Elephas maximus indicus: one gene and its partner. The main gene of each other region encodes a partner of the protein of the gene in region 2 in a complex. Links are inferred from orthologs where the notes say so. Each region holds a gene or a part of one and is shown on either strand. Other genes may lie near its edges.

The links.
Region 1: PIGH (region 2) and PIGP share a complex: the UniProt entries of both Homo sapiens proteins name them as parts of the glycosylphosphatidylinositol-N-acetylglucosaminyltransferase (GPI-GnT) complex. The link is inferred for Elephas maximus indicus from reciprocal best matches to the Homo sapiens genes PIGH and PIGP.

The regions. Positions count from the first base shown.
Region 1 is NC_064820.1:218,682,698-218,697,697, forward strand, and holds the start of PIGP (phosphatidylinositol N-acetylglucosaminyltransferase subunit P), read right to left. Parts: upstream 8,163-15,000; 5' UTR 7,993-8,162; intron 7,987-7,992; exon of another isoform or gene 7,871-7,986; intron 7,862-7,870; exon of another isoform or gene 7,760-7,861; intron 7,602-7,759; 5' UTR 7,578-7,601; coding exon 7,496-7,577; intron 1,553-7,495; coding exon 1,480-1,552; intron 1-1,479. Other genes in the region: E3 ubiquitin-protein ligase TTC3, read left to right, coding at 8,341-8,389. UniProt on the Homo sapiens protein: Part of the glycosylphosphatidylinositol-N-acetylglucosaminyltransferase (GPI-GnT) complex that catalyzes the transfer of N-acetylglucosamine from UDP-N-acetylglucosamine to phosphatidylinositol and participates in the first step of GPI biosynthesis.
Region 2 is NC_064828.1:79,951,567-79,967,019, forward strand, and holds PIGH (phosphatidylinositol N-acetylglucosaminyltransferase subunit H), read right to left. Parts: upstream 6,147-15,453; 5' UTR 6,066-6,146; coding exon 5,886-6,065; intron 3,461-5,885; coding exon 3,251-3,460; intron 2,810-3,250; coding exon 2,579-2,809; 3' UTR 2,378-2,578; downstream 1-2,377. UniProt on the Homo sapiens protein: Part of the glycosylphosphatidylinositol-N-acetylglucosaminyltransferase (GPI-GnT) complex that catalyzes the transfer of N-acetylglucosamine from UDP-N-acetylglucosamine to phosphatidylinositol and participates in the first step of GPI biosynthesis.

The DNA of each region.
Region 1 (15,000 bases), on a different chromosome or scaffold from region 2:
TTCCTCCCTATTGTTTTCTCTTTCCAGAACTTCTAACAGAATTTTAGCGGTTATACTTTCACCTTTTCATTTCTTTCACTTTTGTTCTACCCTCTGGAAGATTACCCTTTGGTCTATTGTCCAACCTTTCCATTACATTTTTAATTTTAGCTATTATATTTGTAATTTCCAAATACCATATTTCCCTGAATATATATATATTTTTAAATAGCAGTCTGTGTCTGTTTCATAGTTACATCTTTTCTTATCTCTTTAAGGATTTTATGTTACTCAAATTACCTTCTGTTCCCTACATTACCTTCATTTTCTTCAAGTTCCTTTTTTTCTTTTGCCTTTCATGTTAGAGGCTTTCTTCTGACATCTGGTGAGTTATGGTTGTCGATGCGTATTTAGAACTGAAGTACCAACAAGCTAACTGGAAGCCCTGTGTATACGGAGGCAGGAGAGGCCAACTGGTGAGCCTCATTAGAGGACCTCCACATGTCAGAAACTACAGATCCTTTCTCTTGGGCTGGTCAGCTTCCTCAGGGAGAAGCCTCCGATCTTTTCCTGAGAGGAGTAGGGTGGTGTGAACTTGGTAGCCACAAGCCTGGGAGCCTAGTAAAGAAAGGAGCTGGAGAATCTTCTCATTCAGCAATGCGGGCTTTCACTCATCCCCGTTTTCAGTTAGACACCTCATTTTTGTGCTCAGTTAGCCCTAATATCCCCAGGCTGGAGGCCTCATTATGTTTCTCTAGAGTGAAAACGCCTGTCTTCTGCCAGTGCAGAGGATGGTTCGCAATCTAGCTCTCAGGCCTTAGGGAGGGGGGTCTGAGGGTCTAACTGCTCCTTAAACAGTTTCAACGCAACCCAGAAATACCATGTTTAGAGATACCTGCTACCTCCAGTGCCTGAGCCTGTCTGTGTTCTAAAAAAAAGTTCTAGGGTACAAATATTCTTGCTGGCTCCCCAATTTCACTGCAGTGGAAGAAGTGGAGACTAAGTCAGTTACCTCTCACGTACTTGCTCTTCACTTCCTAAAATCCACCTCTTACCTTCTATCTCTATCTCACTTTGTCCCTGTGGGTTTATACATTTTTCAATTTTTTTTTTTTTCCTATAGAGTCATTTTGAAAACCCTGGTGGCATAGTGGTTAAGAGCTACAGCTACTAATCAAAAGGTCAGCAGTTCAAATCCACCAGGCACTCCTTGGAAACTCTATGGGGCAGTTCTACTCGGTCCTATAGGGTCACTATGAGTCGGAATTGACTCGACGGCACTGGGTTTGGTTTTGGTTTTATAGTCATTTTAGTGAGATTTTGGGGGGAAATGGAGATAAACATATGTGTTCAGCCAATCACCTTTACTTACAGGTATATCAATAAATGACCTTTACAAAGTTTTCAATTTTTATATTGCTATTAATAGATCTTAAGAAAATATATTTAAGACTTAGACAGTCTTAAGGACATTTTATTTAAGAAACATATTAAACTTACTTTTGAGGCCAGTAGGTTAAGCCTAAGGAGTTTAGCCAAGATTCAGGAATAAAAGCCCATACAAGATATAGTACTGTAAAACAGAGAAGAGGAAAAAAAAAAAACAGTGAGAGAAACATCAGTAAGGCATGCAACCAGTCCATCAAGGTTTAGATAAAAAGCTCCTCTGAACCTTTCTCTAATTTATTCAGAAATGATTTTTCCCTCCTTTCAGTTTTTCTAGCTCTTTATTTGTACCATCCTTATAAAACCACAATTACCTTGTATCAGTTATTATTCAAAAATATACATTAACTCTCACACTACATTTTAGGCAAGTTAAAGGCACAAGTCATGTCTTAGCAATTGCTGTAATTCCTATAAACCTAACAGTTTGCTTTATGCATAGCAAGTGTTCAACAGTTCACCCCCACCCCCACCCGAGAGAGATGGGAATAATTATGACATTTAGCTACTTAAAGGTCAATTTACCTACCCTTGGTCCAATACACTGCAATCTGAGTTTCTACCTTATCTCCCTGGATACAATCTCATTTCCCTTAATGCCAATGCTTTGTGGTACCCTTTGCTGTTTTTGAAGGAGCCCTGGTGGCGCAGTGATTAAAGTGCTCGGCTGCTAACCGAAAGGTCAGTGGTTCGAACCCACCAGTGGCTCTGCTGGGAGAAAGCTGTATGTCATGGATTGAATTGTGTCCCCCCAAAATACCTGTCAGTTTAGCTGGGCCATGATTCTCAGTATTGTGTGATTGCCCACCATTTTATTTGATTTTTCTATATGTTGCAAATCCTGTCACTATGATGTAATAACATGGATTAGTGGCAGTTATACTAGTAAGGTCTACAAGATTAGGTAGTGTCTTAAGCCAATCTCTTCCGAGATATAAAACAGAGAAGCAAGCAGAGAGACAGGGGAACCTTATACCACCAAGAAAGCAGTGCCGGGAGCAGGGTGCTTCCTTTAGACCTGAGATTCCTGCGCTGAGATGCTCCCAGACCAAGGGAAGACTGATGACAAGGACCTTCCTCCAGAGCTGACATAGAAAGACTTGCCCCAGAGCTAGCGCCTGAATTCAGACTTCTAGCCTATTGGACTGTGAGAGAATAAACTTCTCTTTGTTAAAGCCATCCATTTGTGGTATTTCTGTTAGAGCAGCACAAGATGACCAAGACAATGTAGCAGTCTACTTCAGTAAAGATTACAGCTTTGGAAACCCTACAGGGGCAGTTCTACTCTGTCCTACAGAGTCGCCATGTGTTGGAATCAACTCAACGGCAGTGGGTTTGGTTTGGTTTTTTGCTGTTGTCCCTGTGTAGTAACAGATGCCATCTGAGCACTCACTTCGGGCTAAGCACAGTTATAAGCACTTTACATGCATTATTTCCTTTAATCTTCAAACTGACGTATGTATACCATTTTTACAGATGAGGAAATGAAAAGGTTAGAAAGGTTAAATCGTCTGCCCAAGGTAAGCGGCAAAGACAGATTTCCAATTACTTAAATCAACGATGATGAAGTGTTGATTGTTTTTTTCTTGACAAATATGTAGTATAAAACTACGTCAGGACCTTGAGATACAATAATGAACTTGAAAGAGACAACCCCTGCCCTCCCTGAGCTTAAAATCTAGTGGAGAACAGAGTTGAGGAAATTGATATTGTCACTACACTATGATAACTGCTGATGACTATGTGATAAAAGACGACACGGGAGCACAAGAGAAGAACCTTAGCCCAGACAGGCGCAGGTGGAAATTAAGGTGTGAAGGATGAGTAGGAGGTAAGCCAGATTAAAAACGTATATGGCTAGGGAGCCTGCAGATGACAGGAAGGGAAAATAGATGAAATGATGTTCCCTGCCATGATACAGAGAGAGAACATGAGGGATCTGAAGAGAGATTTGGTGCCTTTTTTTTTTTTTTTTTTTTTAGATGGTAGAGGCCAAGGGAAAGGGTGGCCAGGAACTGGCTTGAAGCATTAACATAGCTCTTAAAGTTAATGCAACACAATCATAATGAAACACTATAAATCCATAAGCAGAAGTGATTTATTAGTTTAATTAATGAAATGAATGATCATTTCTTGAACATCTACTACTATGTGCCAGACACTATGTAAGGCCAACGCAATAAAAAAAAATTTTTTTTTTTTTTAAAAAACGTTATAGAGGAAACTAAAACAGTCCTTATTCTCAGGGAACTCACAAACTAGGGTGGGAGACAGAAACAAGCCAAGTGTAGTGGAAGGAACTTCACATGTAGTATCTTACTTAAGCCTCTCAAAACCCTTTTGAGGTGGGAGCTATTATTAGCCCTAATTCACAGATGAAGACCACTGAAGCTTGGGGAATCAAGTAACTTGCTCGAAGTCTCACAGTAAGAGCTACAAAGCTGCAGTGTGAACCCAAACAGTCTGTTCATACTACGCTACTCCCCAGGTAATCATAGACAAGTACAGTGACAAACCTACGTAAGGTATCATTAGAAGAGAGAAAAAAGTGACCTAACACAAATTGGGGAGATCAGGGAAGGCTTCCTGAAGATGATGCCTGAGCTGACTCAAAGGATGCGTGGAGGTAAGCTCCCGTAAGGGAGGTCGCTATGCAAAGAGATAATGAAGATGGAAAGAACGTTCCCAGAAGCAAGACCATTAAGAAAAATACGGAGGTGACAAAAGAATGTCACGTATTTGGGGGAAACCATAAACAGTCATACACAGGTAGCTATGAGTCAGAACCAACTTGAAGGCACCTAACGACAACACGAGCAGTTCAGAGCTGCTGTGAGTACTGAGATATAAAAGTGCAAAAGTGGGCTACAGAGAGAGAGAGAACCATCCACACACCCACCAAAGAGGTTTTTTAAGCAGAGAAGTTCAGATTTGCCTCTGAGTGGGTTGCTCTGGTGGCTCTCTGGAGGACGTATTTGGTGGTAATAAAATCAGACAGTAAGAGGCCTACAGCAGATTCCGTGGCAGGAGCGAATGAATGAGTTATGGGCAGAAGAAAAAGGACAAATGGGGAATGACAGCCAGGTTTTCGGATTGGGTGACTCGTAATTTTAACACCAAAGAGAGTATCTGAGAAGTTATTCTCCATACAGCGTTGAATGATCTTCCAAAAATATTAAGTAAACCATATTCCTCAACTGTTCAAGCCCTTCAACGCCCTTACCCACTGCCGTTGAAAATCCAAGCTCTTTACCAAGGCCTACAAGGACTTGAATGATCTGGTTCCTGCCCACCTCTCCAATGTCCTTTCTAAGCCTTGTGCACTATGCTCCAGCCACAGTGGTCTCCTTTCTGTTCTTCACACCTTTCCTCCTCAGGGCTACTGTGCTTGAAGTGCCATCTGCCTGGACCTGTCTGCTCTTCCCTTGGCTCTTTTCAATGCCTGGTCCCTTCTCTTTCAGGCAGCAGGGGCTCTCCCCGACCATTAGTCCCTCCATCTGCTGCCCCGCCCCCCACATTACTATCATTTCCCTCTATTTACTTCAAAGCCTTCATCACAATCTGCAATTACCTTGGTTGTTTTCAAATTAGTAAACATTTCAATGTAGAGAGAGAATCATGTAATCCTCCTGTACCCAGCACCTAGTTTTATCGTAACTGCCCAGAGCTGGCTTCTGACCTCACTTTTTCAGGCTTCAACCTTCCTGTTATTCCTTGAACTCACAGGAATGTGTCTCCCTCTGGGCGTCGGCACTGGCTGTTCTCTCTCTGGGGTGCTCTTTCTCCAGAGAACCACCCACCTAGCTCCCTCACTTTTCATGTCTTTGCTTAAACCTAATCTCTCAGGTACATCCCAACTGCTCTATTCAAAATCACAAAGTTCTTCCACTCCTTATCCTTCGTCCTTAATTTCTCCCCAAAGGGCATGCTATCATCTGACATTGTGCACGTTTCACTTAATTTGTTCATTGCCTATGTGCCTCTACTAGAATGAAAACTGTATGAGACTAGGAAATATCTGCTTGTTTTGCTCCTCCCTGACTTATAATAGTGTCTGGCATATACTAAGCACTCAATAAATATTTACTAAATTAATTTTTGATTGTAGGTACTATTGAATTTAAGTATTAAAGCCATTGCTTTTATTTATTTGCATAGTTTCTAATCCTTCAAGTACTCTATTAAACACTAGGATTACAAAACGATGTTAATAATAATAGCAGTGGCTAATATTTATTGAATACCTGTTGTATCCCAAGCATTGCTGTAAGTGCTTTATATAAATTACCCTGATTAATCCTCAAAACAGCCCTAAGAGACAGCAGAATGAAATGTTTTAGAGCAAATATTCTTAAACAGTGTATCTAGGTTCAAATTCCAGCTAGCTGTGTGACCTTGGTTAAGTTACTTAAACCCACCTGTGTGCTTCAGTATCGTCACCTGGAAGGTGAGGACCATAACAACAGTATCTACCTCACAGGACCGTTTGTGCGTATCAGGACTCACAAGGATTTGAATGATCTGGCTCCTGCCAGATCAACAAACATCGATCAACACACAGATCCAACAAACATTATCATCAGCACTTCCCACCCACTTCTACAGATAAGGAACCTGAAGGCTAAGACAGAGGTTAAGTGGCCCTAGATCACACAGCTAATCTGTGGAGGAGTAAGGATTTGAATTTAGTTATAATGAAAACCCTGTTGATCACAATGGCCTGATCCACAATCAATCATGGGATGGCCCAGGATCAGGCAGTGTTTCATTCCATTGTGCGTGGGGTCGCCGTGAGTCTGGGGCTCACTCGCCAGCAACTAACAATGACGTAACTTCTTCACTCCACAAACTCCCTTAGTCAACAGCTTGGCCATTAGGCCATCTCCAAGCTATACTGATGGTGCAAAGTGGGGTTTTTTTCAGTTAAGATTCCTCCGCACACACCCCTCCCCCCATCCCTCAGCTTTCAGGAAGTTCCAGCAAGTAGGATTAAGGTACCCAATTTTCTCCCTTTTGTTTCTCTCATAATTCCAAAATCCTTTTGGGGCAATATGGGGCCTACTGTGTGACTGGGCAAGGAGCCCTGGTGGCACAGTGGTTAAGTGCTTGGCTGCCAACTCAAGGGCTGGTGGTTCGAATCCACCAGCAGCTACAAGTAAGAAAGATGTAGCAGTCTGCTTCTGTAAAGATCTATAGCCTTGGAAACCCTATGGGGACAGTTCTACTCTGTCCTATAGGATCTCTACGGGTTAGAATCCGCTCAATGGCAATGGGTTTGGTTTTTTGGTGTGACTGGGCATATTATGGAAACCCTGGCGGCATAGTGGTTAAGAGCTATAGCTGCTAACCGAAAGGCTGACAGCTCAAATCCACCAGGCGCTCCCTGGAAACCCTATGGGGCAGTTCTACTCTGTCCTATAGAGTCGCTATGAGTCAGAATCGACTCGACAGCAGTGGGTCTTGGGTTTGGGGTATGTCAGTGTCTCAGTGAGAGTCAGTTTCCTTATCTGTAAAATGGGACATTCTGCGGATTAAAGGGTCTATCTTTCAATGGGAGTTCTCTAGCTTAATTGCCATCACTCTCCAGTTCCTGCATGCTGCACTGGAGCCACACCAAACTACTCACTTTTCAACCTGGTTGTGCCTTCCTCCAAGCCCTTCACATTTCCTTCTCTCTTAATTATTCTTCTGTAATAAGTGTTGTGAATAAAGTCTCTGAGAGAAAGCCAATCTGATCTCCCAGTTTGATTTCAACGTCCGTCCACTGTTCTTCCATGATACTTACCACAGTGAACATCTGGTCCAGAAGACCCTGACCTCCTTAAGGGCAAGAACCAGATTTTACACACTTTGCCATCATGTCTGGTGCTATATAAATATATGTGTTAAAATTAAAGCTCTTGGGCCAGCGTCTTACATATAAAACATCTTGAACAACGAATTCCCTTAAAAAGAAACATTGCTGTAAAGAATCACAGCTCCTGTGTATACATTCTAAAAAAAACCGCAACGTTTCCTTGTCCTCGACATCCAGAAAGGGTTCCTAGTCACTCTTCAAGAATATACTTACTGAAGCCAAATTGGGAGCTTAAAAAAAGCACAAAGCCATAAATCGCTCTTTCTGGCAATGGTGACGGTGAATTTTCCACCATTTTGTCCCTGTGGCTTTAGACAATCTGTGGAAAAGAAGACAAGCCGTCAGCGATTTACACCCCTTTGCCCCTCCTGACTTTGCTTTGGGCAGAGCCCCCGCAGGGGTTTATTTCAGCGGAAACCACTGCAAACGGCCATCCTGCGCACACCCCAGCCCACGCCCGAGTGCACGCGCGCACACCTGCTGCGGGGGGCACGGCAGCGGAGGCACCTACGCCGCTCCAGCCCCGCGAGCTTCGCCTGCGCAGGGGAAGGGGAGGGAAGAGCAGAGTGGGGTCCGCGAGGCGCCGACCTGGACGCGCGCGGCCTCCCAGGCCTGGGCCCTGCTCTCTGTTGGGGCTTGTTTCTCATTCGAGGCCTCACTCAAAAGCTGGGTGGGGTATGCCCTCGGCCAGCAGCCCTTCATGCGCTCACCCGGGCCCCTCCCGCCAACTCGGCCACCTCCGCGCCGAGTCTTCTGCGCAAGCGCCGACTACGGAACGGCGGGGTGCGAGAGAGAGAAAATTGAGAGAAAGGAAAGGAGCGACGGCGCACTCCCGCCCACGCACGCGCGTACACCGCGACCCTCGCAGGGAGCGCGCGGAGGGTGGACGCATGCGCAGGGGCAGGCTAGGGCGCTCAGCTCGCGGCCGCGGAGGGAGGGGGCGGGCTGGCCCCACTGCGCATGTGTGTTCCCTTTCCACGTGACAAATCTGCCTCCCGCCCACGCCCCCGCTCGCGCCCGGCTGACGTGGAGGTCTGGTCGCTGCGGCGGCGGCGGTAATGGCTGAGGGAATTACCAGCGTCCGAGGCTCGCTGACAGCGGGCCCCGGTAAGTGCACCCTTGGCGCGCGGCAGGTCACGTGGTCCCGCTGCAGCCGAGACTCCCGGGGAAAGGGGGCCTTATCCTTCACAGCCCTTGCAGGAGCGTGTGCTCGTTGCGGGGTGTCCCTCGCTGTGGTGCCCGCTGTGTGTCTGCGTGGGCCAGGGAACGGTCACGGGGTGTGTCTCCTTTGCCTGGTGTCCCCCTTCTGCAAGCGGGTGCCCCGCTGGGGGTCTGCGCGAGGGTGGGAGCGTTCCTTTTGCGTGCACATTCCTCTGCTGTCCGCGCGCGCCTCGTCTCCGATACCAGTTTGGGGCGGTGGCCGCCCCAGCCCGCTCTCGGGCACGCCCCCGGATCTGCCCCCGGACCCCCTTTGTGGACACCCTTTCTTTTCGCGGCTTCCGTGGGTGGCTCCCCCTTTGCGTCATTGCTCTTTTCTGGGGGTGCGCGTCCCCGCGCCTTGTGCGACGCGACCCCCTCTTGGAGCGATCTCAACCCTAGTGTGTTCCCGCGCGAGTGCGAGTTTTCCGTGACGAATGTTCGGGAACGTTGGTGCAAGCCCACCATCTGTGTGCTCCGACGTACCTGCCACCTGTTTTTGTGAGAACTGGCAGCGGAGTGCGGCGCTCGCCCCTCCCCAAGGAACGGACCAGGAGAAGTCTCTCCCCCCACACCCCCAAAGACTAACTGGGAGGACGGGAGCGGTTCGGGCCAGCTGCTCCGTGGTATTTGCAAAGTTAGGTGTGGCCTGTGGAGCCAGCCTTTCCCGGGAATAGAATTGGGGGACCACAACCGAGCAAGGCATAGGCGAATTTGGACTGGTACCATTGCGGCGGGCGTTTTCCAGAGGAACCCTAGTCACAGTCCTTCAAATTGCAAACCTCCCCCAGAATCCATGCATCCGCCAAACGGGCAATACCTTGTAGCCGACCCTGAGCGTTTTTGGTAACAGCTAACGGTTTAGTTAGGGTTCTATGGCTTTCACGTAAATCATCTCTTTTGCTTCTGCGCAGCGTGCAGGAGAGGGAAATAAAGTAGAAATCTGATAAATCTTACTCCTCCTTTGGGCGCAGTTTTCTCATAATTACTCGGCTCTGGTTAGGACATTTTTGATTGCAAGGAATTTGCATTTTATCTTAAGGAAAATGGACTTCATTATTAGAGTACACAGACAGGGCCAAGAAAAGTCAAATGCATCAGGAACTTGACTACTACTCTTGCTCAAGGACTGTGTGCTCTGCGCTCAAGAGCTGCATTTGGTGTTTTTCTCTCGCCATCTGCTCCATTTTCTTACTCTTGCAAAGTTTTCTTTTTAATTTCTGGACTATTTGACGCATAAATTACGGGGAGGGGGGAGTCTACCCAATCCATAATTCAGATTTTACAGGTGCTTAAAAAAATTTTTTTTTAATTGGAATATTTTGCCAAATTTACTTGAGATCCTTTGTTTTTTTTTTTAAATGAAATGTTGCCCATATGGGGGTGCTTCTCGTTTTTCCCCCTCCTTTCCTAGACAAAAGCCACTGTGTTCAGGTTTGTGTTTGTCATTCCCTTGCATATCTTATACTTCGATCAGAGTGAATCCATAACCAATATATACTGGTGTGTGTTTTTAAACATTACATAATGGTATTAAACTACATGTACTTTTTTTTTGCAACTTGCTATTTTTACTTTGTATCACATTTTGAGATTTATATATGAATAAATCAGATGATTTTGTTGTTTCTGGCTCATTCATTTAAATTACCGGTATAGAGTTCCATTGTATGAATATACCATAGTTCATTTATCCATTTATCTATGGATGGACTTTGAAGTTGTTCCCAGCTTTTTGCTCTTAAAAGCACTCTTGCAATAAACATCTTTTTACCTACCTGTCTGCTTGTACACGCATTTGAAAGCTTCTCTAGGAAATATATCTAGTAGTAGATCTGCTTTGATAGTAAGATACATGGATATCACAGATGCTCTCCAAGCGATTTACCAATTTTCACACTCCCTTGTTTTGAGTGAGAACACCTGTTTCTTGCTAACACTTCATGCTCTCAGACTTTCACGTTTTTTGCCTTCTCTGTAACTTCAGCTTGTTGTTTGGAGCCACGTTGGCTTCTGCTCGTGTCTCCGTCTACTGGTTCTTCTCTCACAGCTAACTGGCTCAGTTTTTATCTCATTTGGTCCTCATAAGATTAATTCTAATGAACGTTTATCGTCTTCCTAGCGTGTATCAGTTCCTATGGTTGATGTAAAGACAGTAATTTCTGTGGTATATGTACCTTTTTAGTGTCCAGTGAGGAGATTTAATTTAAAAAATTAATATAACGAATGGTTTATCTTAATCTTTTCGGTTATTTCAGTGTAATGTTTGATACATACATGATATATATAACTACGCAAAGCAGTAAAAAATGAGTCTACCACTCAGTCGAAAAATTAAAATTACCAGTATTGCATGTACTCATCTCCAGAGGTGACTATTATCCTGAATTTCATGTCATCACTTGGCTTTTCAAAAATAATTTTATCAGATATATATATATATCTCTTGACAATGTATAGTTTCTATTGTTTTTGAGTTGGAAAAAAAAAAGGAATCCTACCAGATGTAGTTTTCTAGGACTTATTCACCATTATGATATTCTTGAATATAGATGTAAGTCCATAAATTTTTACTGCTGTATAATATTCCATGCGTGAATCTAACACGGTTATGCATTCTCTTGTTGATAGACATTTTCATTGTTTCTAAAACGTACTGTTAATGAAGATTCTTGTGTGTATTTTCTGGTACACAGGTACAAGAATTTCTCTTAAGTTTTCACACTGGGGTTCATAACCCCCAGGGGAGTTAGGAAGATTTTTCCAAGGGGTGCTTGGGTACAAATGGTGTTAATGAATCAATTTCTAGATCCTTAATTTTTGTATGTATTCTTTTCTAGGAGCCCTGGCGGCACAGTTGTTAAGAGCTCGGCTGCTAGCCAAAAGGTCAGCAGTTCGAATCCGCCAGGCACTCCTTGAAAACCCTATGGGACAGTTCTCCTCTGCCCTGTAGGGTCGCAATGAGTTGAAATCGACTTGATGGCAACCGGTTTTTGGGGGTTCTTTTCTAAAATTGGTAATGCCTGAGGCTTATGGTACAGGTCACCTGCTAGTTCTCCTTTCTTATCTTCCCTTTCACAGTAGCCTTCCACTCCCCCACATGGAATGTTACCAGGGCATTGTTCCAGTCCAGGCATCTACCCCATTGTCTCAAGAGATGCTTTTTCAATAAGATTTCACTTTTTATAATTATCAACATATATAGTTATGATCAGCTGTATATTAATAATTATAATGACATACAGTTGGAAGACTGATGTATCAGTTTTATTTGAAAATGTCACCATGATACTTCAGAAATTCATCCTTTACAGTTACTTAAACTTATACTGAAATCTTTTAAATGTCGTCTTGATGTGTGAAGGGGTTTGTAATTTTTAAAAGCTTTTGGGGGGAGTTTATGAGCCAAAAGAAATTGCTAGGTGGTGCAGACAGTTAATGTGCTTAGGTGTTTGTTAATTGAATGGTTGGCAATTCGAACCTACCCAGCAGCTCTGTGGAAGAAACACCTGGTGATCTGTTCCCATAAAGATTAAAGCCTAGAAAAACCTCTGGGGCAGTTCTACTCTGTCACATGGGGTCATGGTGAGTTAAAATTGACTTGATGGTACCTAACTGCAACATGCTGATACCACACTGGCTTAATCCTTATTAATGTTTTTAGCTTTATAAGAAATCTTGATATAGGGAGGGATTTGAGTTTCAGCTGTTCTTGAACTTTTGTTCTGTAAAACCTCAAAATCAGCTTGTCAGGTGACATGAAAAACTGTTTGAGGTTTAATTTGAATTAGTTTGGGAGAGAATTGAGATTTTAAGACTTTGAGCCTTCTTGTCTTCTTTTAGGTTTTTAATTTCCTTTCATATGGTTTTGTGATCTTCTCTGCACAGATCTTCCACGTTTTTGTGATGTTGATATCTATGTATTTAACAGTTTTTGTTAAAATTGTTTTGTTTTAGATTTTATTTTCTGTTTGTTTGTAAATAGAAATTGAATGGATTTTTAAAAATTTGATCTTGAGCCAGCCACTTGATAACTCTTATTTCTAATGTATTTTCTAGAATTCTTCTGGCTTTTCTATGTAGACAGTTATATCGTCTGCAAATAGTGACAGTTTGGGCTTTTCCTTTTTGTGTATTTTCCCTTTCTTAATATGCTGGCAGCACTTCTAGATCTGTGTTCATTAGAAGTGATTGTAATGGCCGTACATGTCTTGTTCCAGGTCTTAAAGTTAGTGTCTCCCCATTACGAATGACGTGTGCTGTGAGCTTTTGTAGATATCCTTCATTCAGATAGGAAGGACTTTGTTTGCAATTTTGTCATATGCTTTTCTGCACCTGTGGAGAACATCTTGTGGTTCTTCTCATTTAATCTGTTAAATGTTAAATTAAGATTTTTTAAAATTCTTAATTCACTCCTGCGTTCCTGAAATAACCCAGCTTGGTCTTAATGGATTATCTTGATTGTGCAGTACTAGTTTGAGTTGCCTAATATTTTATTTAAGGTTTTTCATCTGTTCATGAATGTAATTGCCTGTCGTTTCTCTTTGTTAACTGTCATGTCTGATTTTGGCAGTAAAGTTAACACTGGCCTTCTATGGTGAGTGAGTTTGTCTTTATCTGTTGCCTGGGAGAGTTTGAATTGGAGTGGTTTGTTTCTTAACAGTTTGATGGAACTTGTACTGTAAAATCATCTGGGCCTAATGTTTTCTTTGCAAAGAATTGTAAATTACGAATAGTTTTTTTTGTTTTTTAATGGCTATGTGCGAAATCGACTCAATGGCAATGGGTTTGGTTTTTTTTTCCCCCCAATGACTAATCATGTTGGGCATTTTTTCACATGCTTTTTGGCCAGTTATATATCCTCCTTGGTGAAATGTCTGTTTAAATCCTTTCCCTGTTCTTTTTTTGGGGGGGGCGGGGGTGTCTTTTTCTTGTTAAGTTACAGGTTTTTTTTTTTTTTTTTAACATATTTTTGAGTATTAGACCCTTATCAGATACATGGTTCTCCAGAATTTTCTCCCAACTGTAGGTTGTCTCCTCACTTTGTTGATAAAGTTCTTTGAACAAAGTATTTGATTTTTGTGAGATCCTATTTATTTTATCCTTTGTTACTTGTACTTTTGGTGTCATAGCTGATAATTCATTGTTAAAAAGTAGGTCCTGTAGTCATATCTCTGTTTTCTTCTTACAGTTTTATGGTTTTAGCTTTCACGTTTAGGTCCTTGATCTTTTTTGAATTGATTTTTGTATATGGTGTGAGGCATGGATCCTGCTTCATTCATCTGCATGTGGAAATCCAGTTTTCCCAGCACCATTTATTAAAGGCACTCTTTTTTCCTCACTGAACGGACTTATCACCCTTGTCAAAAATCAGTTGAATGCAAATGTATGAGTTTATTTCTGGACTCTTCCATTGGTCTATATGTCTGTTGTTATACCAGTACCAGGCTGTTTTGATGACTGTAGCTTTGTAGTTTGTTTTGAAATTGGGAAGTGTGAATCCTCCTACTTTCTTCTTCTTGAAGATTGCTTTAGGTATTTTGGGTACCTTGCCCAGATTGCTTTGGGTAGTATTGACATCTATAAGGTAGTCTATACATTTGTTATAATTAAGCCTTCCAGCCCATGAATGTGGAATGTCCTTCCACTTATTTAGGTTGTCTTTAATTTCTTTTAGTAATGTTTTGTAGTTTTTAGTGTATAAGACTTCCATATTCCTGGTTAAATTTATTCTTAGCTGATTTGTTCTTCTAGGTGCTATTGTAAATGGTACTGCTTTCTTTATTTCTTTTTCAGTTTCCTCATTACTGATGTGTAGAAACCTGACTGATTATTGTGTGTTGTCCTTGTGTGCTGCCCCTTTGCTCAATTCATTAGCTCTAATAGCTTTCTTGTGGAATCTTTGGGGATTTCTGTATATAGGATCATGTCATCTGTGAAAAGGGATAGTTTTGCTTCCTCCTTCCCAGTTGGGGTACCATTTTTTTTTTTTTCTATTTCCATATTTTTGAAGTGTACAATTTAGTGCCATCAATTACATTAATCATGTTGTGTAGCCATCACCCATAATCGTTGCCAAATTTCCTATCACCAAAAACAAATTCACTGTTTCCTGAACAGAGACTCACCCAGGTAACCATTAATAAACTTTGGTTTTTATACATTTGTCTGTTCTTATTATCGCATATAAGCGAGATCATACAATATTTGTCCTTTTCTGAGTGACTTCACTTAGCATAATCTTTTGAAGATTCATCTGCATTGGAGCATGTATCAGGACTTCATTTATCTGTGTGGCTGAGTAGGACTCCTCTGTGTGGTTATACCACATTTTGTTTACCCTTTCATCTGTTAACGGACACTTAAGTGTTTCCACCTTCTGGCTTTTGTGAACAGCTCAGCAGTGAACATTGGTGTACATGTATCTATTTGCATCAGTGCTTTCAAGTCACTTGGGTATATGCCTAGGATTGGAATTGCTGGGTCATATGGTGGCGTAGTGGTTAAGTGCTGTGGCTGCT
Region 2 (15,453 bases):
ACAGCCATCTCCCACTTCTGTACTGCCTTTTCCACCAGGATTTAGGGATCTAGCTGAGACGTTTCTACCTCGAACAAGTCACATCTCACATATACCACAGGTTCCTGGGTAACCCTCCAGAGCTGTGTAAATGGCAGAGATTGCAGCTCTGGTTTTTAATATCTTGAGTGTCTCTAGGACCAATGAGGATAACATCATCTACCAGGGAGGGATGTTTAAAAAAAAATTAGGATTCCATATAAAGAGTAGGCAAGGAGTTTTTTCATACTGAACTTGACGCCACGCTATTCCCCCGCTTCCCCTCCCTCCCAATCCTTCAGGAATCCTCTCAGTTTATTGATTTTATACAGAAGAAGCTTCCTTATAAACAAAGGCTTCTACAGTTCTCTTATTTATCCTTCTTTAACACGCAAGTCCTGTGTCTGGAAACAAAAGTCAAATCTGTCTGACCTTTTGTCTCATCCCTTTTGGCAAAAGAAGCTTTTGAAACCGTAGCTAATGATGAGTAACAGGAAAGTATTCATGTGCTTGACACCCATGACTGAAATGCCATGATTGTGTTTGTCAATAAAAAGCAGCTGTCTGTGAACCAGGCAATTATTGTGTATGTTTTAAGAAGATTTGTTTATTAAGAGAGTTATAAATTAACCCTGCTAACACAGGAGCTAAGTGGACAGAGTAGTCTTTTGTAGGACATTTCCTCCCGCTAACTAGTACCTGAAGGGCTGGCCTTTTTATTATTAACTTTTACACAGTGGTGCTCTGCAGTTGGAAATGATACCTTTCTCAAGAAACCTGATGTCAGTTTCCCACTGTCTTGCTCCACAAATTTCAATAGAAAGCAAACTGAATGTGCTTAGGAATTTCATGAAAGTGCTCTTTGCTGATATTATTTTTGACATCCTGTTTCTTAAAGTCTTCCCTCAGTTGGTAAAGTAGGCAACATCTTACAAGGGGAACACTAAAATACACAGAAATACGTTGCTCAACATCACACAACGAGTTAGGTTTCCAGTCACCTGCTCTATGGCTCTGAGATCCACAGCACCCACACTGGTTCCTAGGACTGTGTCCACGTGATAGTTTAGAATACAGAAAATGAACCAGCCACTATGGCTTAAGAGTCATCTCCCAAGGAAGACAATACTGGCCTTTTGAATGCTGGGACTCATGGGCTTGTTGATGTGGCTTTCTGGTGTGCCAGGATCTCCTGGCAGCTCCTGTACACTTCAATCAAGCAGTCCAGCCGGGGCTTGGCACTCTGAATTCCAAAGGGGAGAAACGCAGAGTCAAGATGAACGTAAGAGAGTGCTCAGTGGTGTTGCATCCACGTGTAAACTCAATCTCTCACCCACATCAAGGGGCATAAATGGCAGAGAAATGAGCTCAGACAGCAGGAAGTTCACACCTCAGTACCTTGCTAGAAGGACTCCAAAACTATGCCCGTAGCCAGCCCGTGAACTGTGTGAGGCAGGAGCTCAAAAGACAATTTTTTAATCTGTCTAAATTTCACAACCTCTAAGAGAAGAAGAAGAATAACAAGGACAGGCCCTCTGAGAAGTGTCACAAGCTGAGATAGAGTCCTCAGAGACCAGAAGGGCAGTTTAATATGCAAATATTGTAAAACATTTTGTGAAATGAAATGTAACACAACCAAAACTAAAAGAAAAGCCACAGAATGGGAAAAATATATGTGGAAAGAATATTTAATGAAAGTTTGCTACTTAAAATATAAAAAGAATTGTTACATAATTAATATCTAGATTCTACTTGACTAATAGAGATGGATAATTTAAAACAAAATACTGATAGGAGATACAAGGAAATATGAAGTCAGTCATTTAAAAAGATACAAATTTAATAATTTTAAAATGCCTTTACCTACATACTAAACGAAAAGAACCAGTTGAATTCACTGCTAGCCAAGACTGCAGAAAAGGCAAGTAAAAACTCCCAATAGCATGGTAAAGTGGTCCAATCTCTGCAGCTCAATCTCAAACACGAACAAAAACCCATGGAACTGCTCATAAACTTTAACAAAATAGCTATAATTTGAAACTATAATGCCAAAGAATTTTTTTTTGAGCTTAGCTGCCTTAAATCTTTTGTGAAAAAGGAACAGCAGTGGAGCAGGGTTAAATGCATACGTAAATAAATACCTATAATTTATTACAATCATGTTTGTTCAAGTGGTTTTTCCTAAGAGCAAAACAAGTAATCTGGACACAATTTAAAAAGCTAGAAATAGAGTGGCTAAAGTAAACTATAATATTTCAACATGATGGAATACTATATAATTATTTAAAGTATAACAGCCTTTGCAGATGAATGAAAATGCATATTAAATAACTATTTAATAAACAAAGCACAAAATAGTGCCTAATATGTGTAGATAATGACATCTGGGTGAAACTGTATAATGGAAACTGAGAGTCAAAGTAGATGAATAGTAATTTATGGGCAGAAATTGCTACATATTTGATTATTTTTTCTCTAAAATTTGCATGAATTCATATTATTTTTGAAAGCCTATATTTGCTTCAGAGAGGAACTTCTAAAATAACTAAAATCCTAATTTTCACTGGAAATAGTTGCCAGGTATCTTCAAAAACTCTGACAAAAGTTTACATTCCCACTGAGCATAAACAGCAGTGCATATGCAAGGAGTACGAGAGGAGGTAGAGAATTTCTCTGGAGAAAGGAAACTTAAGTGTTCTGTGCTCACCTGGAAGACAGGTACTACTTGGGATATCCCATGTGGTTCCACTGGATCCTTCAATAAAATGCAGAGGTAGTAAATCACCTTCTGCTGTAAGAAAAGAAACCAAATAGCAGAAGTCCAAGTGAAACTCGGTTTGTTTTCTTTTTCTTCTTCTTCAAGGGGAGGCTCAAAACTTTTTCTCTAAGTAGTAGAACACCTGATAACCTTGAAATGGAAAAGGAGAAGTATATTCTCATTCTTTAAATGAAAAATACAAGAGATGATTTTGAAGCTGGGCTAGAAACAGTTGAAGTGCTGATTCCTTATTCATAAAAACCTATTCTCTTTAAAAATAGTCCTATCTTTTCAACGTAAGTTTCACTCTTATGGTTTATAGACACATCAGCCAAAAAAAGAAACACTGCAAGTACTAGAGCAGAAGATTCCTCAAATTTAATTCTATGACATCAAATACTTTAGTATTTGATTCAGGAACACCCCACCTGCTACTTCCTCCAGAAAGGCCTGTAATACTTATTATACACTTACCATGTAAATAGCCTCGTTAATGACAATATCCTTCACCTTGCCCATCTCAATAAAGGTGGTGCTTTCTTTGCCTGAGGCGTAGGATGAGGTCAGCTGGATGCCCAGGGAATCAATGATTAACAGAGTCTCCTGATCAATCTTCACAAAATGGAGGTAACCAAGTAGGCCTAAGAGGGTGATGAAGATGGCAGCAGAGAGGATCATGCTGTTCTGAAGAGAGAGCCAGAGGCAGGCAGTAAGATTACCAAGTGGTCCTGCGCACACTGCTGCTGTGTTAACAAATCAACTCGGGCGGGGCGGGGCGGGGCGGGGGGGGGCAGAAAGGGACAAAGGACAGGCGAAAATCTTTGTTCTACTGTGAGTTGAACAGATGCAAGACCCATACATAAGAGGAAACCATACAAAAGAGGAAACCACTTTTATCTGGGTTCTGCAAGTATATAGGAGTCCTTGGGTGGTATAAATGGTTAAGTGCTTGACTACTAGCAGAAAGGTTGGCAGTTCGAACCCATCCTGAGGTGCCTTGGGAGGCAGGCCTGTCAATCTGCTTCTGAGAGGTCACAGCCTTGAAAACCCCACAGTTCTATTCCGCACACATGGTGTCACCATGAGTCAGAATCAACTTGGTGGCAACTAACAACAGCATACAAGTGGATAGTGGAATAGATCCAGATAGCTTCCAAATGGACAGGTCTGTGGAGGGAAATCCACAGCAAAATGTCTGGCATCACACCAATGTCAAAGATTTTTCTTCCAAAAGTGCAATTTAGGGACCCAGATCTTTTCCTCTCTTGCTCCCTCAGCAGAATATACAGTGCAAAATCACAGACTGAACAATTGTAAAGTACTTCGCACCAGTGCTGCAGATACTACTCACTGCCTATTCAACTGCCGCTTCTTCCTAGTAGAACTTGGAGTGAATCATGACCTGGTCCCACTCCTTTTGCCAATGATTGGTTAGGAATGGGCACATGACAAGTCTGGCCAATGAGATGTCAGGGGAGGTCAGCTAGAGGGGCTTCTGAAAAACTTAGTTCATCTTAAAAAGACAGCTAAGGAAGAAGAGGTCCTTTCTTTATGAAGTTCATAGTGAGGTTTGATGCCATGGCCTTTGCCACATGAAGTGGAGATGGCATAAAAACAAAATTCTCCTATTTTAAAATTGCCTAAGATCAGCCCTCCACATGGAGGAGGCAACATGGTATAAACAAAAAGAAACGGCTTCAGAGTCAAACAGCCTTGGATTTGAATCCCAGGTCTACCATTTACTAGCTTTGTAGATTTGCGACCTTGGATAGATAAGTTATTACTCTTTCTGAGCCTTGGTTTTCTTCTGAGGTTGAAATGAGGCATTCAGTAAAACACCTGGCACTCAATAGGCAGTTAATAAGTTATCTGTCCCTGCTCCCCACATGCCCACAGGGGCAGAACTCAGGCTAGTATTAAAATTCAACTGTATTATAAATTTAGGTAGCTAGACAGATAAACATAGATAAATTACCATGCTCTGAAATATGCTGTGGTAGCAAAAAAGCTAATGGATGCAGTAATAGAAACTACCAAAATACGGAATAAATAGCTCTGCTGTATTTAGCTTTGACCAGACCACTCCTGGAATATATTCCATCCAGGACACTATACATGAAACTAGAACTTACCCTGGGAAAGGCAATTAGGATAAGTCCTTTTAACTGAGCGCTGTCACAAAGTTAGGACATTTGACCCACAATACAATACTGTGGAAGAGGTCCTGGTGGCACTGTTAATCAAAAGGTCCATAGTTCGAACCCACCAGCTGCTCCACAGGAGAAAGATGTGGCTGTCGGCTTCAGTGAAGATCTACAACCTTGGAAACCCTAAGGGGCAACTGTACTCTGTGCTACTTGGTCGTTAAGAGTTGGAATTGACTGGAGGGCACACAACAACAATACCGTGAAGCTAGTGTGGCAAATATTCCATTTTAGAGATGCGAAAACTGAGGCTCAGAAAAAATAGGACTGAGTCTGGAAATTGCTCGAAAAGTTCATAGTTCTTCAGAAAATACGTGAAACTGGGGAAGGGATTCAGGGAGGTAGATAGATTGCCTTGAAAAAGAAATTAGGAGGAACTATAAAAGCTGCTTTCAAGCTTTTAACGTCTGTGTGTATCTAGACACACACACATATACTATATATACACATACACACTTGTAGAGGCAGAGAGTTTCTGAAAGACTATATAAGGTATTGTTAACAATGATACCTGTGAGGAGTGGAAGCGATGGATGAGGGTGATCCACTAACAGTTCTCTGAACTCTCGGAATTAAATTACTAGGAGCATAACTACATAGCGCACATGGAAGTTTACATTTTAGGCTGTCGTGCAAGGACTAAGATGTATGCTGGGTGGATCCACAAAAGCAGAACAGGGATCCACGAGAGGGAGATGGTACAAGAGCACAAACTTCACTAAACGTAATGAAAAGATCCGTCCAGCAGGACAATGGCGTCTCCAGAACCAGCGAGTCCTCGTCCTCCGACCCTACAACTGTAGGAGGATCCGGCAAGAGGCTCGAGCTCCACCAAAAAGACCCCAAAGAGCCTTCCAAATCCGAGCCCCAACTCCGAGGGCAGGGAGAGGCCGACCGGCCATTACCTCACAGAGGGTGAAGAGTCCGTAGGCCGCCAGCCACACGGTGCAGGTGACAGCGGTGAGGGAGCGCAGCGAGAGCCGAGGGCAGCTGAGGCAGAACTCCCGGCAAGAGGGGGAATAGTAGCGGCGCTGCAGGGCCAGGCGGCCGCCGCAGATGTCCGAGAAGCTCCGCTCGTCCTCCATTGCCGGCTCGCCCCCACCCAGCGGGGCCGCGCCGCGCCGCGCCGCGCCACTCTAGCCCGCCCCACCGCGCCGTCTCGCCGGCTCTCGGGCCACTTCCGGAGAGCCGGGTCAGCGTCCCGCCCCCCGTTCGGCGCAGCCGCAGTTCGGCGCTGAGAGTCCGGGAGGTTAAGTGAAGAGTTCATCGTGCCCCCGGTGTGTTCGGCCGCTATTTTCGGCTTCTTTGTCTTCTCCAAAGAGTCGTAGGGGGCCAGCGACTCAGCAGACAGATTAAAACCGCTACTAACAAACGTGGTTTCGCCCGACAAACTGATTTATATTTCTAAGCCAGAGTGTGCCCCAAGGAGACAGTCCACAGGTATTCATACATTCCAATCATTGTTTTATTCGTTACATATTTAATGACACCTTTTTTATTGTGTACTAGGGAAACCCTGGTGGCGTAGTGGTTAAGTGCTACCGCTGCTAACCAAAGGGTCGGCATTTCGAATCCGCCAGGCGCTCCTTGGAAACTCTGGGGGCAGTTCTGCTCTGTTCTATAGGGTCGCTAGGAGTCGGAATCGACTCGACGGCACTGGGCTTGGTTTGGGTTCATTGTGTGCTAGATAGTTTTAGGTGCTGAGGATACAGTGGTGAATAACATTGACAAGGTCCCTGTCCTCAAGTGGCTTCCTTTCTAGTGGGAGAAATAATATGGAAATAATTTCAGAAAGCCGTCGGCAATAAGGTGATGACCACAGGCAGGGACGGGTGGGCCGGGGACTTTAAACAGGGCATTCAAGAGAACGTCTCTCTGAGAGGGAAACTTTGGAGCTAGAAGAATGAGAAGGAACCGAACATTGGTCTCAGGGAGTTCTGCAGGTGCACTTTGTCAGGAAGAAGGACGAACAAAGACAAAGCCCTCGAGGCTGGAACAAGGTGAGCTTATTGGAGGTATATAAAGGCCATGGAGACAGGTGCCTGGGGACAGATAGGTAAAAGATCCAGAAGGGTCTTGTATGAGACGCTGTAAGGAGTTAGATTTCACTGTCCAACTTCTCTCTCCCAGACCTCTGCTGGGAGGTAGACAGTAGGAGTGTGAGATGCAGTTTATGGAAAATAGGATTACTAAATGTATGTAATAAGTCCTGTGGGTTCCCTCCTCTTACCTCAGATGTGTCCCGTGAGCCACGGTGTGGCCTATTAAAATAGTTATGATGCTTCAGCCCTGAGGCGTAAGGATAAATGGCATAGAGTTCTCACTAGCTTTAAGTCTCTCCGATGCCAGTCAGGTTCAGTTGCTCCATTCTCATGCAGAATTTTTTTCCTTTTCTTTTCCTAAATTTTTCTTCAAATATTGCTTTGCTTTGTTTTTCCAGTTTTATTTCTGTGCCCCGAATCTTCCAACCAATACTTTTTTTGTGAATATCATTTAATGTCTTTTACAATTATAAAAGTAATATTTGCGTATTGTTGAAAATTTGAGATTTTTAACTGTACAACAAGGAAGAAAACTTTAAACCACCTATATCGCCCCCACTGAGACATAAGCACCGTTGGTGTTTTAGAGAGACCTCTAGTCCTGGAGTTCTCGCCCAGGCATCCCTAATAGCATTCAGAGTCTGCGGACTTGGATGGGGAAAAAATTTCCCCTTTAGTTTCATTAACTTCTAACTGAAATTTAACATTTCTTTTGATTATGAGTGCAGACACAAACCAAGTAGTATCAGCAGTGATTTTGTCACCAATAGAAATCACAAATATTTTCTTTTCACAATAATTGTTATAAAAATCAAACCTGTCACCATCGAGTCAATTCTGACTCACAGTGACCCTATAGGACAGGGTAGAACTGCCCCATAGGGTTTCCAGTGCCTGGAGCACTTAACCACTGTGCCACCAGGGTCTCCATAATTGTTATCTCAAAATGTCCTTTTCACTCATAACTACTTCAAAATTGCAGTAATTATTAGACCCATCACTAGATCTTGTTATTAATGTGTCAGTAAAGAGATACATATGGCTATAACACATTTGAAAAATATTTTGATTACTATATTTCAATTCAAGGAGCCCTGGTGGCATAGTGGTTAAGTGCTCAGCTGCCAACCAAAAGGTTGTCAGTCTGAACCCACCAGCTGCTCCGCAGGAGAAAGATGTGGCATTCTGCTCCTGTAAAGATTATACAACCTCGGAGACCCTATGTGGCACTTAGACTCCGTCTTATAGGGTTACTATGAGTCGGAATAGACTGGACAGCAACAGGTTTGGTTTTGGATATTCACATTCTGTTGGTTTTCTTTGAAATCCAATGTTTTGTTTTTTTTTTTAAATGCAATTTAAAATATGATTGTGATAAGGGATCCGTTAGCTTCACCAGACTTACAAAGGGTCTGTGGCACAAGAAACGTTAAGAACCTGTACCGGCTTAGAAAGTTTCACAGCAGTAGAGGCATAGAAAGAAAAAGACACCTAAATGTACACTTAACATTTTTTGAATACTATTAGGAATATATATGGTAGTAAAGTAATCCCAAAATCTTTATATCTACTTTGTTTTGTCACATCACAGTATCTTCTTAACTCTATTATGCAGTTTGGCAGCTCAGTAGAAATTGAAACCTATGTGTTTGCTATTTACCTAGGTTCCAGTTAGAATGTGAAATGACAAGTTTTCATGACCATGATCTTGCAAAAGTATCAAGGAGTGATTGTTTTAGCTCTCAGTATTGGATTTCAAAATATTCTCAAATCTCAAAAGTTCCATGGACTATATTTGCAGGGTCAGTCATGGAAAAATAGAGAAAGGGAGCATGAGAAAAAATATATACCCTCTATTTTCAAGGTAGGATAACTGCTGTAACAAAACACCTTACAATTTCAGTGGCTTGACACAATAACTGTTTATCTTAAGTGCATAGTTCCACATGGGTGTTCGTGGTGAGGTGACACGCTTCCAAGTCAGCGACCCAGACTCCTTGCATCTAATGGCTGCACAACCCCCTAGGGCCTTCTCGTGGGCCTCTCCATTGGATCCTCTGCATCTGGCTGGCAGATGAGGGGCAAGAATGGAGGAAGGTGCATGAGACGGTTTTCTGGCCAAGTCTTTGGCCCACATTTCCATTGGCCAGAACTCATTAGCATGGCTATACCTAACTTCAATGGAGGCAGAGAAACAGCATCTATCAGTGTGGGGAGGGATGGTTGAGGAGAAATGATCTGGTGAACATTTAGTCAGGCAAAGGCCATATTCTTCAAAGAATTCTGGCTACAAGAACCAGGAACTATATTGGAGTGAATTAAGCACTGAGGTGGCAATTCACAGGATTAATCTCCCAGACTTACTTTTGGTATGATGGGTAATTATTTCCACTGTTAAAGTAATTCTTGGAGCCTGAGTGGTTTTGAATTTGAATAGCAAAGGAAAATAGAGTAATTAAAATACAAGTTCAGTTAACTTTTTATTTTTAGGGTCCATGCCAGATTCTTAAAACCCTTCCATAAGTTCTATTTTAGTGTTTGCTTACATTTATGGGTTAAATAGTCATTCCAAGAATACAATCTTAAACCAAAAACAAAAGCTGTTGCTGACCAGTTGATTCTGACTCAGCAACCCTGTAGGACAGAGTAGAGCAGCCCCATAGCGTTTCCAAGGAGCAGCTGGTGGATTCGAACTGCTGCCCTTTTGGTTACCTGAGCTCTTAACCACTGGGCTACCAGGGCTCCTCTGTCTTGTACTGTTGCTTCTATTCTGTTTGCTTTTTTATGATATTAATGATTGCTACTGCTATGTTAACTGATGGTAGGACTCCTACTAAGGGCCACTTACCCCTAAGCGTTCTGTGAACTCAAAGGAAACTAATAACAACCCATAGAGGAGAAAAAGCAAAGGCCCACGTAAGTAAAAAGTAATCCCAATGAAATGGGGTTTTAAAGAAATAAACTTTTCATCTGTTCATTTCTAGAATTCCATTTTGATTTATCTAGTGTTTTTGAGTATATCTCTTCATATGGTTTTTTTAGTGGTTGCTTGTTTTAGTTATCTTGTGCTACTATAACAGAAATGCCACAAGTGGATGGGTTTAACAAAGAGAAATTTATTTCCTCACAGTAAAGTAGGCAAAAAGTCCAAATTCAGGATGTCACCTCCATGGGATGGCTTTCCCTCTCTGTCGGCCTTCTCATCAGTCTTCCCCTGGAGTAGGAGCTTCTCCATGCAGGGACCCTGGGTCCAAATGACATGCTCTGCTCCTGGCACTGCTTTCTTGGTGGTATGAGGTCCCCCGTCTCTCTTCTTGCTTCTTTGTTTTATATCTCAAGAGATTACCTGAAGATACAATCCAATTTTGTAGATTGAGCCCTGCCTCACTAACACATTAACATCATAGAGGCAGGATTTACAACATACTGGAAAAGCACACAATACCGGGAATCATCCCCCAGCCAAATTGATACACACGTTTTGGGGGGGGGGGGCATATAGTTCGATCCATGACATTGCTGTAGGTATTAAATTATGTATATATAACTTATCACAGTCTAGTGATATTGACATTTTACCAGTTCAAATGAAGTGTAAAAATCTTACCTCCCTTTACATCCCTTTACGCTCCCCATTTATAATTGTCTTGAGTAGTTCCTCTATATACATTAAAAAACCACAGTGTTATAATTTTTTTTTTGCTTCAACCATCAAGCATAATTTCAAAAAATTCAGAGAAGAAAAGTTTATTATGTTTGCCCATATTTTTGTTCTTTTCATTGTTCTTCCTTCTTGATGTTCCAAGATCCCTTCTTTTATCATTTCCCTTCTATTAAGAGAACTTCCGTTAGCCATTCTTTTAAGGTAGGTGTGCTGGTGACAAATTCTCTTCATGAAATTTTCCTCCATCTGAAAATGTCTTGATTTCCCCTTCATTCCTGAAGGATATTTTTTACTGGATATATAATTCTGAGTTGACAGTTCTTTCAGCACTTGAAAAATATTGTGCCATTTCCTTCTGGCCTCCATGGTTTCTGATGACAAATCTGCTATCATTTGAATTTTTTTTCTTAATATATATCTGGTTCTATCATTGCTTTCAAGATTTTTTCTTTGTCTTTAGTTTTCAGAAGTTTGGTTATGATGTGTCTTGGCATGAATTTCTAGGGTTTATCCTGTTTAGGTTTTGTGTAGCTTCTTGAATCTGTAAGTTCATGTCTTTTGCCATATTTGGGAGGTTTTCAGCCATTTTTTCTGTGGGTATTCTTTCAGCCTCATCCTTTTTCTCCTCTCCTTCCAGGATTCTGATGACATAGATATTAGATCTTTTGTGTAGTCCCACAGATCCCTAAAGCTCTGTTTCTTTTTTTTTCCAATATGCTTTCTCTGTTGTTAAATTTGGGTAATTTCTATTGTTCTGTCTTTAAATTCACTGATTCTTTCGTCTGTCCTCTCCATACTGTTGTTGAATCGTGTTATAGTGTTTTTCAGTTCTAAAATTTCCATTTGATTCTTCTTTATATCTTCTGTTCTCTACACAGTGTCAGGAAGGATCAGTCCCTGGAGAAGGATATCATGCTTGGTAAAGTACAGGGTCGGTGGAAAAGAGGAAGACCCTCAACGAGATGGATTGACACAGTGGCTGCAACAATGGGCTCAAGTATAACAACGATTGTGAGCATGGTACAGGACCGGGCAGCGTTTTGGTTTGTGGTACATAGGGTTGCTATGAGTCAGAACCTACTCGACTAACAACAACAACGTTCTCTGCTGAGACTTCTATTTTTTTGTTTGTTTCAAGCATGTTTGTAATTGCTTGTTGAAGAATTTTTATGATACTATGTAGCAGTGGGTAGTGGTTTTTATGTAAAATCCTAGTCAGGTAATTCTAACATCTGTGTCACCTCAGTGTTGGCATCTCTTGATTTTCTTTTCTTATTCAAGTTGAGTTTTTTGGGTTCTTGGTATGAGGAGTGATATTTTCTTGAAACCTGAACATTTTGGATACTGTGTTATGAGACTCTGGATCTTATTTAAATTTTCTGTTATAGAAGGCCCCCTCTGACACCACCCCAGTGGGAGAAGAGGGGCATTACTTCAGTACTGCCAAGTGGAGGTTAAAGTCCAGGTTCCCTACTTGGCCTCCATTAACAGCTGGGGTGGAGGAGATGCTCCTTGTTATTGCCGTGTGGGGTAGAAGTCCAGGCTTCCCGTGTGTTCTCCACTGACCCCACAGGGTAGGGGTTGGGGGATGCACGTGTTACCACTCAGCAGAGAATAAAGTCCCTGATCTTTACTCAGCCTTCTCTGATAACATCCTAGTTGAGGAGTTGGAACATGTCATTATAGCCTGGCAAGCTGGAAGTCCAGGTTCCTTGCTTGATCTTTGCTGGCAGGGGTGAGAATGGCACCACAGTGTTTTTCTGTGGTGTTTGGCTGGAGTAGTTATTGTCTAAAAGCTTTCTACCTTGCTGGGCTTCTTTGTCCTTTGGCTTTAGAGAGCAGGCTTTCCTTGGGTGTTTTTTTAAGTGTTTTATCTGCACCCATTGTCATTTCCAGGTTGATATCTTTTCCAGTACCCAGTCTGGGATATACGAGACAAAAAGAAAACCCACAAAAGTCACCACCGTATCATTCTTCTGGTCCTGAGGTCCCTAGTCAGTCTGCCTCCCTCTCTCCATGTTTCAGAGTCTTATATTTGTTTTATATGTAATGCCCAGGGATTTTAGCTATTCTTAGTGGGAAGCATAGGGAATATATATATATTCCATCATTCTAGAAGAAATTTCCTCATTTACCCATTAAAAAAATTAATTGATGAATATTATCTATGAAATAAAAATGCACAGCCTGCAGTTTACTTTTTCCACACTCTTACTGGTTTCTTTTGTGAACAGAAGTCTTAATTGAGATGAAGACCAATTTATCAATCTTTCCTTTTATGGTTAGTGTTTTTTTATGTTCTGTTTAAGAAATTTTTGCTACCCCAAAGTCATGAAAATATTTCATTCTTTTTTTTCTAGAAGCTTCATTGTTTTACCTTTCATATTTAGACCTACAATCCATTTTGAATTAATTTTTTTATTATTTGAAGGTAAGAGTCAAAGTTAATTTTTTTCAACACCATATGTTGAAAATACCATCCTTTCCCCATTGATTGCAATGCCATTTTTTTTGTAAATCGAGTGACTATATATGTTTTTTATATATATATATATGTGTAGATTCTCTGTTCTGTTCTTTGTGTTCTATTTTGTCTTTCCTTGTACTATGAGTCGGAATCGACTTGACGGCAGTGGGTTTGTTTCTTTTTGGTTTTGTGCCAAACATCAAACTGTCTCTCAATTACTATAGCTTTATAGTAGGTCTTGATTTCTGATACTGTTAAATCATCCAGCTTTGTTCAGGATTGTATAGGCTGTTCTAGTCCCTTTGTATTTTCACCAAAAATCCTGCTGGGATTGCATTGAATCAATGGATCAATTTGGAGAGAATTGAGATTTTAACTATTCTTAGTCTTCCAGTCCGTGAGCCTGGTATGCCTCTCTATTTATTAGGTCTTTTCTCTCTGAGAACATGTTTTATAGTTGTGTTGTACGTCTTTAATTGGCTTATGCCTAGGTACTTGATGTTTTTTGATGCTATTATCTATTAGATATGTATTTTTTTATTTCAGTACTCATTCCTTTTTAAATATGATATGTTTATTATTTCCCTGATGAAATCAAATTGAGATTTTATAAAAGAAAATATATCTGCAACCCTGACACCTAAACAAATAAATCTTTTTATTTACGCAAGCATTTGGGCCTTTTTACTTTAATGTTTTAAAAAGATGATGTAATAAATATAAACAATTTTTGAATGAGAGAAAAAAATTGCACACAGTCCTAGAAATCCTTCAGTTTGCTTATTACTTTTCAATATATGTCTCTTAGTTTTTGCACTTTTATCTTTGCAAGCATAATGTACATACTATTTTGTAATTAAAATTTTTTAACATTTTCTACATTTTTACAGATTTTATATATGTAAATGATATATGTAAATGTCATTTAAAATAGCTACATAGTATCCCATCATGTCATTGTTGTTGTTACTTGCTGTCTAGTCCACCGTGACCCATGGCAATCCCATGTGACCCCATGCTTGCAGAGTAGAACTGCTCCATAGGGTTTTCAAGGCTGTGGTCTTTTGGAAACAGATTGCCAAGCCTGTCTTCAAGGCACCTCTGGGAGAGTTCAAACTGCCAACCTTTTGGCTAGTAGTCAAGTGCTTAATCATTTCAAAGACCCAGGGGCTCCTTTCTGTTACGTTAAAATAATAATTTACTTATTAGTGTCCTATTGTTTTCCTATCTGGTGAAAATGGCTAGTAGTCATTTCAGGTAAGGAAGAATGACAGTAGGGGAAAAAAATAGACAGCTGGAGAAGAAAGGGTAAATAAAGACATAGAAATAGGAAAAAAACACACAAACAGATATAGCACAGAAAGCAATTTTTTTTTTTTTTGGAGTCACATCCCCATCTTGTGGCGTGCTAGGATAGTGGAGCTAAGTATTTTCAGACTTGTGTTTATTTTTCACATATTTTATACTTGATTGGAGTGGAGTTATCTTTAGCATCTGTGCAACAAGCAAAAGAAAATGAAGTCAGGGAACACACCTAGCTTTTGTGTGGAAGGTTTCTCTTCCCTTGTAAAAACCAGGGTACTATGTGTCCTTGTAAGGACAAATACAAATTGAAAATAAGTTTTAATTCTCTGCGTTGAAAATAAGGGAAGAGGCTCCCCTTCTCTCCTGTTCTTTCAGAATTCCCTTTAGATAACCTGTAAATGCTTTCTCTTTTTGTAATGTAAATCAAGGATGTTTTCTCAAGGATTTCAGGACCACCTATTTTGAAATGTAATCTTCAAGGAAGGCCACACCCTTACTTCTCAAGTTTCCTGGAAGGAGATTAGCATAACTCCAGGTATCCTGCCATAAAGATATTTAAAAAATGATCAATTTTATCTTGAAAACATGCATGTAATGGGTTATATCCACTCAGCTATAAAAAGAGTCAGATTCCTTTCTGTCTTGGTAATTTCTTCAGCAGGTTGGTTGTGATGATTACATTTTCGTTCAATCCTTGTTCAATAATAACATTTTAAGTAAATTTTTAAAATTTGAATAATAATTTTTTTGTGGAGAGGTTTTCTGGGTTGGGAGTATATATTGTTTTTAGTAACTTTTCCCCAATTTTGTACACTAAGTTTTGTAAATCAAATAAACTGAACTTTGGTTAAAAAGATAAATCTAGTTTGACACAGGTTTGACAAACAGGTTCAGTTAGACCATAACACTCAGCTTAATTTCATGTGGTTGGTTGCAGCAACTTCCTTAAGTGAATTTGATCAAGTTGCAACTTTGTAATCTAGAAAATAAGTTTC